3 linked regions of the Daphnia pulex genome follow. The protein of the gene in region 1 interacts with the protein of each later gene in a biochemical or structural test. Links are inferred from orthologs where the notes say so. Each region holds a gene or a part of one and is shown in the gene's direction. Other genes may lie near its edges. The genes, in order: E3 ubiquitin-protein ligase CHIP-like, ubiquitin-conjugating enzyme E2 N and ubiquitin-conjugating enzyme E2 W-like.

Region 1 (3,703 bases):
TTAGCTTGCTTCGGATTTCATCCACACGAATTTTTGAAGTTTTATTGTGGTGATAATTAGAAATGTTTTCCTTCAGAGAATTTTCGGTTATTTTGGAAAAGCGAAGAACCATTATTCCTCCCACAATTACGAATCCAAGATTTAGTAATACGAAAACCAGGTACTGAAGGCGAGCAGTGCGATGCAATCATTCATCGTAGCGAAATATTCCATTTAGTCAAAGGAGAAAGAAAATTACTCTAAAATCTTTTTTTGTTTTTTTTTTTTTATACAAACACGAGCTTACGCAAGATATCAGGCATTTTTTCTCGCCAAAGGCACCACACATCCCGAATAGGCTAAGAAATATGAGTAGACCGCTGACGGCAATTGCAACCACGATGTTCATAACCATATATTTGTCGTTTACCACCAAAAATTTCTGTTTGTCTGATCCTTTTGCAAATTCTTGACGTTGTACAAGTGACGACGCCGACAAGGAGATTAATACAATGCCGCTCAACTGCATTTCAAAGAATATGTCAGTATCATATTTTATGAAAAGCAATAACAAACCCAGTCTTCCAAACGCAACATTTAATTCGATAATTTCAACCATCTTCAGTTAAATTCTTTAGTAAACTCACGTTGGAATAATATAACTGTTAATATTTTAACAAATCTACAATTACATTGTAATAGAATAATATGTTTACCAGGATTAACAAGTTGAGGCACAAAAAACTCCATCGTAAAATCTTGTGGGAACGGAACGTAACCTCGTCCGTCATTTCCCTTTGACTGTTTTTCCAGTTACTATTTCAAATCGGAATGAAAGCCCGTGTGATAAGGAAACTTACTGTACCACTAACAGGAAACCCAAAATCCGAGTAAAAGAAAATACATTTGCAAACAAGCAATACAGCCGGAACCCAAACGGTATAAAAAAGTGACGTCTATCATTAATATCGTAATCCATAAAACCACGTTGACTCCACCAGTTGGTCTCACGCTTCGAAGTTTTAACTCCTGAGATGGTCACACGATTAAATAAGTAAATAACCAGAATAACCACTGCGGATCGCCTACTGTTCTCTAGGTTAAAGCCCAGCAGTGCGCAGTCAAAATTGTACGCGCGTGTATCCAGGTCGGATGTATATCACTCCAAATAACCTTTTCTTTTGCTTATTTCAATAAATTCTCTGCTTTAACAGCTCTAATTAATTTTCTTATCCTAATTTTCAAATTAGATAGGAATCGTTATGGCGTCTACTGCGCGTATTCATCATAGATTAAAATCTATTTTTATTGGATGGTAGATGGCGGTGAAAAGGTCTTTCCACAATCCGCACTTTACTTTACTTTCATCCGCATTTTATAGTTTATTTATTAAAAGCGTTTTTGTTGTTTTCCGCTTTAGTGTCAGAATATCTGACGTTAATTGGAATTGTGCAATTACGTTTTCGTATCTATTTTATGTGATAGTGTTGCTTTTTTAAATTCTTTCTCGATCCTACAGCACCCAATAGTTTCTTTTTTAGAGAAGAAAATGAGTGACAGAGAACACAAAGATCAGGGGAATAAGTTGTTTTTAGCTCGACGTTTCGATGAAGCAATTTCATGCTATTCCAAAGCCATTGTAAATTTCTTTAATTAAATTAAGCATAAATTATTTTGTTTTGCAACGCGTAAATCAAAGTAATTGTAATTGTTTTCTTTAGCTTAAAAATGGTTCTGTTCCACAATACTACACAAATAGAGCTCTCTGCTCTCTCAAGCTTGGCCGTTGGGATGCAGTAGTGCAAGATTGCAAAAGTGCTTTAGAGTTAGACAACACTTGGGTGAAAGGTTTTTAGTATAAATTCTTCAAAATACTCTGAAAATGCTATATATTGCTATTATGTTTAGGGCATTTCTTTCTGGGCCAAGCTTTAATGGAAAAAGAATGCTATGAGGAAGCAATAAAACATCTTCAAAGGGGTACTCATTTCCCCAACTTAACATAAATTTTGAACACATAAAATCTGATTATTGAAATTTGCTTGTTATTAGCCCGTGATCTTTCGATGGATCAGAAACTTAATTTTGGGGATGATATTACCAGTCAGTTAAGACTGGCAAAGAAGCATCATTTTACAAAGCAGGAGGAGAAAAGAATTTCACAAGAAATCGAACTACAGGTAGTCTGTTAATAACATTCTCTTTGTCCACTCCACTTTGCAAAAAATTATGATTCATTTGAAACTTGGATTTTATTTTGATAGATGTATATAAATAGGCTCATTCGAGAGGATCGAGATCGACAAATCGATTTGGTTAGTCAAGACAAAGAATACAGTTCAGTGGAAAACGAAATTTCGAACATAGAGAACGTCACCGTGAGCATATCTAGAGTATTTTTCTTGTTTCGTTAGTAGACTAATAATACTTGATTAAAATCGGTAGGATCGCTACCTGGCTGAATTGAATGACCTTTTCGCAACCGTCGATGACCGAAGAATGGTACTATAAATTATTCAACTGTGTGTTTCAGTACGTCTTATACCATTAAGAAATTGTCTTTGTAATTGTGTCGGTTAGAAACGTGAAGTTCCAGACTATTTATGTGGCAAAATCTCTTTCGAGATCATGAGAGATCCAGTCATCACTCCTTCAGGAATAACCTACGATAGGAAAGACATCGAAGAACATTTGCAGGTAAGTGAATTCAAAATTGCCTAGTAGATATTAGCCAAAAGATTTGTTTTTACGCAGCGAGTTGGACATTTTGACCCTGTGACGCGAGTTAAATTGACCAAAGACCAATTGATTCCAAATTTCTCCATGAAAGAAGTTGTCGACTCGTACCTGACCGAAAACGAATGGGCTCAGCACTACTAACCACTTTTTTAAGGATCATTCATTGATTTTGATTCTCTTAAAAACTCCGCCGCATTGTATTAAATGAAATCGATATATATTATGATTTGAATCGCCGAGCCCCAGTTGTGATGTTTCCTATCGGGTTGGATGATAATCAGGAAGTAAATGTTGCTATACAGTCTTTCGCTATTGATTGCACATTGCTGTTGTACTTCAATAGACGATGCTGGAAATTTTATATATACCTGATTATGAACCTCCTATTAAATTTGATTTTATTGGGATCAGAGTTCGCCTTGAGCAGATTCTACACCTGTAGGATTGCTCCAATCTTTCAATAGGTTATATTCTTTAGACTAAATTATCGTCTCCTCTGACAATTGTTTGTGGGTGATTGATTTTATTACTTTAGCCAAAGGCAATTGATGATTTGCAGCCGAACTCTATTGGTACGTTTCCTTTCATTAAGCACTTAATTGAGCTTGGCGTGGTTCGTTGTGGATGTGGCCAAGGACAATTGTATCAGAGTTGGTTAAGTTGGTCATTAATCAGGGGGGTCGACTTGAACGGACGGTACTATCGATCCTGGTACAGCACGGGACTGGACCGATATTCACTTAAATTATAATAAACGTCCCATGGGTAAATTGTGTTTGCCACGTCGTCAACTACAGTTATTATCTTATCAGCACTCTAGAGAGAAGTCTGTTGTGTATCTTGCAGTGTGCATACAAGGGCGGAAACGTTACTGTTCCTGTTCCTAGGTCTCAAGTTGAAGTTTTTCAATTTAATGCATAGCCTAGCACTTGTTGTTGCATCGATTTCTTAACTTTTTTTTTCCCCCTCTTCGCGCTTCGACTGT
Region 2 (3,534 bases), about 2.5 Mb from region 1:
TTATTAAATACAGCAAACTATTTGGTATTTTTTACGTTCCGAAAAATAAATATTAAAAAAATGCCGACCTTTCCCAAGTTGACAGCATTTGTTCCAGTAAATAAGATGTGTCAATGCTATGTTTAGTGATTTCCATGGCACTTGATCCTACTGGATAGAAATCAACAGGGACTTTGGTAAAATTTAACGCTGTGCCTGGCTTTGGTTGCATGTGCGGTAGTAATTCATCTTCATAATTTGACCTCTTTATTCTTTTTTCTTTCACTGGAGATTCTGCTGGTGCTGGTACATCTTCTGATGAAATTAATTCTGTAACTGATGAAATCTTTTGCTGAAGGGGTTCCACTTTCCCAACTACATCAGCTAAATATTAATTGTTAGACATTTTATTTTTGTACAGATTACATAATGTATAAGAAAATATACTTGTCAATTTACTGCTGAGAGACATCCATTTCTTCCAGGTATCAAATGGATATGGACCCAAGTGCTGATCAAGATTTTTTAAATTGGCTTTTAAACTTTCTCTTTCTTCATCAGTACCTATTATGGATAAACACTAAATAATAAATTAATATTAAATAATGATTTATAAAATAAAATTACAATCGTTGATGACATCTTCTATTTCTGGGTTCCACTTACGGACCACAACTTCCTTCTTATTGAAGTTGTAAAAGAAACCTGTTCTTGGCGCTACGGAACCTTCCTTGCTTACAGAGCTAGAAATTATATAAAAATATACAATCACATTTTGTACCTCACAGTGAATGTTACACTCACACAACTGTTCTAACAAAAAATAACTTATTTGCCTGTAATAAATATAGTGAATTCCAGGGGGTATCATTTTTATGCCTTTGAATTTTTCGCCGGTTCTCCAACTGTTGAAATCTATTCCTACTTCAGTCCCAATTGGTACGCCAAGAAGAAATAAAAACGCGCCCTCTTCAAATAATTTGTTAGCCAATTTTTGATCCATTCTTTCCGTGTTTGACACTTGATGGTTTATATTTTAAAACAGAATGAAGCTGAGTGAATGAAACCACGCAAAAGCAATGAACGAACAATACTAGCAGACGACAGTTTAAAAACAAACAACATGGAGGTCAGACGTCAGATCAGTACCGGATGCCGACTTGCCGAGTTAAATTCTAGCAATTTTGCATAAAAAAAGGGAATAAAATTAACATGAAGAAGGATAGGAGAAGAAAGTGATAAAATAAAAAATTTTATGTGTTGAAGCCTGCCATTCAATCTTAATCATGCCTTATTAGTTAATTTGCCCTTTTTCAATTTATTTCAACTTTCAAGTCGAAATTCTTTCTAGATGATTCATGAAAATAATTAAAATATTCCGCAAACAGAACAGCCAATTAATCTAACCAAAAAATTTTTACTGGTCATTTTCTACGGTTCTGAAATAAAGGTTTAAACTCATTTCCGGCATTTGAAAAGCAATACCTTTTGTTTAGCTTTCTCGTGTATTTCCGTTTGTAAACCAATTCAAATAAACTTTGTTCATTTTAAATAAATCGTCTTAATTTGAAAAATAATATGTTTATATGTCTAATTCTTCCCGTGTGGCCGGGTCGATCTCCTACCGATTTTCGTCACCAAACAATTTGACAACGTCTTAAATTAGCAATAGGGCACTCGTATAGCGTGAAAACTTTCCGTCTTCTCTATTTGGCTTTAAAGTTACCATCTATTATACGAAAATCTTATTTTATACTCGTTGTTTGTTCAACAAATTGATGCGAAATGGCAGGCTTACCTAGAAGGATAATCAAGGTAACACAAATCTTAATTGTAGACTTGCATCAAAGTGGGAGGCAACGTGTTTTTTTCTCCCGATCCTATTATGGGACCGGTAGTATTCTCTAGCAATATAGTATATTCGTCATTAATTTGATCAATAGGAAACTCAACGTTTGATGGCTGAGCCTGTCCCAGGCATTAGTGCAGTTCCAGATGAACAAAATGCTCGTTATTTCCATGTTGTGGTTGCAGGTCTGTAAACTTAAATTGCAACCTTAAAGTGTCATTCTGGTACTGACTAGTTCATATTGATTAAAATTCATAGGTCCAGAAGGTTCTCCATTTGAAGGTGGTGTTTTCAAATTGGAACTATTTTTGCCTGAAGAGTACCCAATGTCTGCACCTAAAGTGCGATTCATGACAAAGATTTATCACCCTAATATTGATAAACTTGGCCGAATTTGTCTTGATATTCTGAAAGGTGATTATTTTTATTACTTTAGTGTTTGCTCTATCAAGATTGTCAAGTGTTATGTGTTCTATGCATGTATAATCTTGTGTTTTGGTTATCAGGGTATACCTGTATTGTTATGACATTTGTGCTTTGAATTTTTAAGTAACTGGGGAAAAAATCAGTTTTAACTTCAGAAAGTTGCATTTGCTTGAAAAACTTAAGTGTGTGGATTTGGCTTTGTTTAATATTTTCTAATATTTTCAGATAAATGGAGTCCAGCTTTGCAAATTCGGACAGTGCTGTTGTCGATTCAAGCTCTATTGAGTGCGCCCAATCCCGATGATCCATTGGCCAATGATGTTGCTGAGTTGTGGAAAGTCAACGAGGTAGAAGCTATTCGTAATGCTCGAGAATGGACCAGAACTTATGCTATGGGAAACATATGAAACCTGGATCTGTGGAAGGAAAAAGAGTAAAATTGTCAATCCGTTACCGAGAAATTGTGTTTGAATTTAGATTATTTTGCTTTCTTTTGTTCCTCGTCCATCAGCCTTTGTCGACTGATTCCCCTCCCTTCAATTGGTTGAACTGTCCCCGATGGTGATCAGCCAAAAAACTACATTTTGCTCGTTCTTATATCCCAATCTTCTTTTGTTTGCTCGTCAAAAGTTCTATCGACGGTTCATTCCAATTCACGCGTCGTTAAAATGATCGTCGATAGCCTACACTTTTTACCGTTTAGTACCACGAGTACCTCAAAAGGATACTAAAGAATAATAAAAATGCCGTCACCCGTGGAAGTCTAGAGTATCAAATTGTACAGCTGTGTATTTACTTGTCGTGGATGAGGAGGGTGAAATTATAAAGACGGATGAGAGCGCACATTTATCACGAAACGAAAACCATCCACTCGACAGACATAATCAATTTTTTACCAAATCTTCCCCGACCTCTTCGCACCGTTCAGATGAGGTAGGTTCAAACCGAAAAAGGGAAGCGAATATTGGTACTGAGATCCGATCAGAAACAGGAATTCCCAACACTCAAAAATAATCTCCAACATTATGGAATTTCGTGGTTACAAAAAAAAAAAAGGGAAAAACTTTGAATCCAGAATAGTTATAGACAACTGCCTCTTGGTTTTTCATGTATAGTTTTCGGTTTGGACGTCTGTCGCTCCAGTTCTATCTCACTGAAATTCGGTTGGGACCAAATTATAGCCTTTATAGATATTTAAAAATTATATACTTCTTGGCAGTTGAGAAAAGATCGGTATGGGGTCAATTGGGTGCGCAAACAAATACAGTTCAAATAAAATA
Region 3 (4,000 bases), on another chromosome or scaffold:
GCTATTTAACTGAAAGCTCATGCCCTACACGATTGAGCCATGTCATCTGTCGTGCTCGGAGATAATCAAGAGAATGTACATTTTTAATTGTGTTGGAAACTTTTTATTTGCGCCATAATAGAAACCGTGTTATAAGACATCCGCAGTGTATCAGAATGCATTATGCAATCTGACTAAACAAAAATGGCAAATGTTTGCAGAAAAATATTAATTGAATTAAGTTTTGGGTCCTCTCAAAACATCTCCAGTGGCGCAGTTGGTTAGCGCATGGTACTTATAGACAGTAATATATGCAAAACTAACATCAAAATAAAGATTGAAAGTAATGCCGAGGTCGCGAGTTCGAGCCTCGCCTGGAGAAAATTATTTAATTAATTTGCGAAATAAATAAAAAAAAATGTTGATACTTCGTTGTTTCCCACTACTGTCGCCGAGACAATGAAGAATCGATCAAACAACGTCGATTCGCTCGACTTGCGTCACTCACACCTATTGCATAATGTGTTACGTCAATATGACACTGCTGTTGTCACTATATCTTGTTAGTCCTTAAAGGATTCGCAACTGCCATAAATATCTCCAACTGAAAACAATACTACCGTTACGCTTTTGTTGTCACTTGTAAAAGATAAGGGCTCCCACCTTTTTAAAAAAACATCAACGTCTCAGTTTTGTTATAATACCATATGTCATCAATCGATAACTTTCTGCCTTAAGGTTATATAGGAGATGTACAGTACCCAGTCCCAATTAGCTGACGCGGGACACAAATTAGACAGTTAGCAGTGACATTGCACGACAAAGGAGGTTAAGGAAGACGCAACTTGGCCCGTTTGCGTAGTTATTGTTTCCGCTCACGAACCACAAAAGTTCAGTGAACGTTGGAATCCCCCAACTTATTGACGTTTGTTTTTTGTCTGCGTGTGAACTGGAAAAGAAAGAAACTCGCTGAATCAGAGATGAAGGGCAATCTTATTTGCGACGTAAAAAGAAATAAACGACGATAAATGTTTATTACAGGCAGTTTCCACGGTCGTTGAACTCGCAACTTCCGCATCTGCTTTCCGCAATTCACAGCGTTCCGCACAACTGCGTCTGCGAAATACCCAGACGTTTTTGGAGGAAGAAAACAAAACATGTCATCACATCACTCGCGTTTCACATGTTCTCCTGCTCAGGTAAATATTAAATAAAAAAATGCTTCAGTTTAATAAGTGTGAACGTATTCAGAATGGCGAAACGTTAAAGAGCCGCCTGCAATTATCTAGTCGTAGTTGGTAGAAAATGAAACTCGAGGAACCTTCGGTTGCCATGTCAGCTTGTCCTTCAATCTCATCATTATTTGGACTTGTCCTTGACATTTTGCTAGTAAAACTTTTCTTTTAAGTAATATTCTTGACTCGGTTTGAGGTTTCGGAAGTCTTTTTAGCGGTAAAAATAGCTATACTGCTCTGGAGATGGTGTGTGTTCTTGAAGCTTGCTAATCGGTTATGGCACAGATTCAACCAACTGCTTCCTTATTCTTCCCAATTGAGTCACCTGAGAAAATGAAACCCTAGAAGAGAGTTCTGACTTATTGGCACATGTCAGTTTGGCACATGTCTGGTGTGGCTTTGCACGGTTCACGTGAAGTGAAACCCTGCAGCGTACTGTCAAACTGGTGACATTTCCTTTCTATAAAAGGAGAAAGCTACATAAGTGGCAAGTTAGTTCTTGGATCGGTGAGTATAGTTTTCGCATTACTTGCTGGTGGTTGTGTCTCACATTATTGGTGCCCACTGCGAATATGAGTGACAAATCCCTGACTCAATCGTGTGTTCTTCAGAGACAAGAGGTTAACCCTGATTGTTGCCGAATAGATCAGTATCTAAATAAAACTCAATTTTTTTTTAATATTACAGAAAAGGCTGCAAAAGGAGCTTGTCTCCTTGATCAAGGAACCTCCTCCTGGTGTTGTGATCGATGGAGAATCTGTGGGCCAGAGCCTGGACTTGTAAGATTGACTTGACATTTTGTTGGACAAGTGCATCACACTTTTTTCACTTTATTTTTTTCAAATCTCACTTCCAGGTTGGTGTTGAGTATTAATGGAGCTCAAGGAACGATTTACGAAGGGGAGCAGTTTCAGTTACAGTTTCGTTTCGGACCAAAGTACCCTTTCGATTCGCCCGAGGTAACACCTTTCAGTCAACGAATTGACCAAAACCAACACGTATGTTTTACTCATTTGAGACCACTCTCTTTAGGTTGTTTTCGTCGGATCGGAGATCCCTGTCCATCCGCACGTCTACAGCAACGGTCTGTCTAGCGTGAAACCCTTAAAAGATGGTCAATAATTTAACCGCGGCTCTTTTCTCCAACCTTTTCGGTTATTCAGGCCACATCTGCCTCAGTATATTGACCGATGACTGGTCACCGGCTCTGTCCATTTTTTCGGTCTGTGTTTCCATTATCTCAATGCTCAGCTCTTGTAAAGAAAAGGTCAGTTTCAATTGTGTGAAAAAGTATCTTTCTCACCCATCACTCATTCACGACTATTGACCCGTTAGAAGAGACCACCGGATGACAGTATGTACGTGAAAACGTGCAGCAAGAACCCAAAGAAAACCAAATGGTGGTACCACGGTGAGTTTGAATGGCTACCGCCTAAACCCGAGTTATTATTAATCTTTTTTAACCATAAATCATTTCCCAATTTGCCAGACGAAGAAGTGTAAAACGGGTTGATATCTCTCCCCCTCGATTCCCGCTACGAAAAGAAAAAGAACCTGTTTCACGCTGGCGATGCTCGCGTCAGAGACAATCTAGTCGCCAAAAAAATACGAAAGAAAACAAAAATGGATTTTCTTTTTTCAGTTGTCAAAATTTTCCACCCTTCCGAATCGATCGCGTTGATTTCCCATTCCCGATATTGACCTACTACTTCCTCGCATAACGAAACAGTTCCTCTCTGTCTTGATTAATATGCGGTTGATACTCTCCAATTTTTGACTTGTAGCAATATTCACGAAAAACTACAGATGTGTAATGTTTCACACTTTTGGCGTTTGATTTTTCGACTTTTAATCGACATCAAATCTACGAAGCCTTTTTCCCCCCTTCTACTGTGTTTTATCTTACCCCCACCCATTCTTTAAATGTTAAACGAAAAATATTTCGCTCGTATAAAATTTGTTTCAACTATTATACTCAAATTCTTTTTCATTTCACGTTTGGAAGACAAAAAAACTAAACGATTTGAATTAGCCAAGTAAATAATGAATTGTATATTTCTGAAATGGTTTCAAAATCAGAGGGTAGTAGGGCGCAAATTTTGTAATCGACTTTTTCTGTTTTATTATCCTTTTCGAGAACATTTTTTGATGTGTGTGTGTGTGTGTCTTGTGTGATGTTTTTGTTTCGAAAGAAATAGAAGAAGAGATTAAAGTTCGTTTCCGACAGCTTTTTTTTAAGACTCCGCTATAACAACAGCAATGAAGGGCGTGACAAAACATACTTTTGGGTAAACGTAGAGATTAATTAAGGTGGGCGACTTGAAAAAAAATGTCATTCGTCAATTAATGATCGTATTATACACACACACACCATGACTCATGTTAATGTTAAAATAGCCAGTCATATGAGGAGTGTATATATAGCGGATATGAGCTGAAGAAAAGGAGAGGAAGAAAGGTTTTTTGACAAACAAATTCTCCTGGGTAATAAAAAGGGAAAGGTTTAAAAAAAAAAAAACAATTTAACTTTTTTTTTTCGTTTTTTCTTTTTTTTTAAATCAATTAATAAAATCAGAAAGGAGGAAATCTAAAATGATTGAGCGCTGCACGGTATTCCGTCGGACGTGTACACACTGAGAAGAAACAAATCCGCCGAGCTATTTTATCCTTTTTTAAAAAATAATAATTACAAAAATCCGAACTGCATTTTTTAAAATTCATTAAGGAGAAACGAAGAAACAATTTTGAAATTGAAATAGAATTACAAAGAGAGAGAGAGAAGAATA

The links.
Region 2: the proteins of E3 ubiquitin-protein ligase CHIP-like (region 1) and ubiquitin-conjugating enzyme E2 N form a complex in vitro, tested with the Homo sapiens proteins (11 studies listed by BioGRID and IntAct). The link is inferred for Daphnia pulex from reciprocal best matches to the Homo sapiens genes STUB1 and UBE2N.
Region 3: the proteins of E3 ubiquitin-protein ligase CHIP-like (region 1) and ubiquitin-conjugating enzyme E2 W-like form a complex in vitro, tested with the Homo sapiens proteins (7 studies listed by BioGRID, with this or other methods). The link is inferred for Daphnia pulex from reciprocal best matches to the Homo sapiens genes STUB1 and UBE2W.

The regions. Positions count from the first base shown.
Region 1 is NC_060019.1:9,014,786-9,018,488, reverse strand, and holds E3 ubiquitin-protein ligase CHIP-like, read left to right. Parts: upstream 1-1,332; 5' UTR 1,333-1,528; coding exon 1,529-1,618; intron 1,619-1,700; coding exon 1,701-1,827; intron 1,828-1,887; coding exon 1,888-1,959; intron 1,960-2,031; coding exon 2,032-2,159; intron 2,160-2,243; coding exon 2,244-2,357; intron 2,358-2,424; coding exon 2,425-2,481; intron 2,482-2,559; coding exon 2,560-2,676; intron 2,677-2,733; coding exon 2,734-2,859; 3' UTR 2,860-3,079; downstream 3,080-3,703. Other genes in the region: CD82 antigen-like, read right to left, coding at 1-163, 287-502, 696-770. UniProt on the Homo sapiens protein: E3 ubiquitin-protein ligase which targets misfolded chaperone substrates towards proteasomal degradation.
Region 2 is NC_060019.1:11,512,849-11,516,382, forward strand, and holds ubiquitin-conjugating enzyme E2 N, read left to right. Parts: upstream 1-1,567; 5' UTR 1,568-1,764; coding exon 1,765-1,794; intron 1,795-1,922; coding exon 1,923-2,013; intron 2,014-2,086; coding exon 2,087-2,242; intron 2,243-2,479; coding exon 2,480-2,661; 3' UTR 2,662-3,025; downstream 3,026-3,534. Other genes in the region: protein AAR2 homolog, read right to left, coding at 69-363, 427-543, 607-722, 816-982. UniProt on the Homo sapiens protein: The UBE2V1-UBE2N and UBE2V2-UBE2N heterodimers catalyze the synthesis of non-canonical 'Lys-63'-linked polyubiquitin chains. This type of polyubiquitination does not lead to protein degradation by the proteasome.
Region 3 is NC_060027.1:2,995,268-2,999,267, reverse strand, and holds ubiquitin-conjugating enzyme E2 W-like, read left to right. Parts: upstream 1-1,249; 5' UTR 1,250-1,786; coding exon 1,787-1,834; intron 1,835-1,901; coding exon 1,902-1,993; intron 1,994-2,070; coding exon 2,071-2,173; intron 2,174-2,246; coding exon 2,247-2,298; intron 2,299-2,377; coding exon 2,378-2,481; intron 2,482-2,549; coding exon 2,550-2,625; intron 2,626-2,703; coding exon 2,704-2,717; 3' UTR 2,718-3,430; downstream 3,431-4,000. UniProt on the Homo sapiens protein: Accepts ubiquitin from the E1 complex and catalyzes its covalent attachment to other proteins.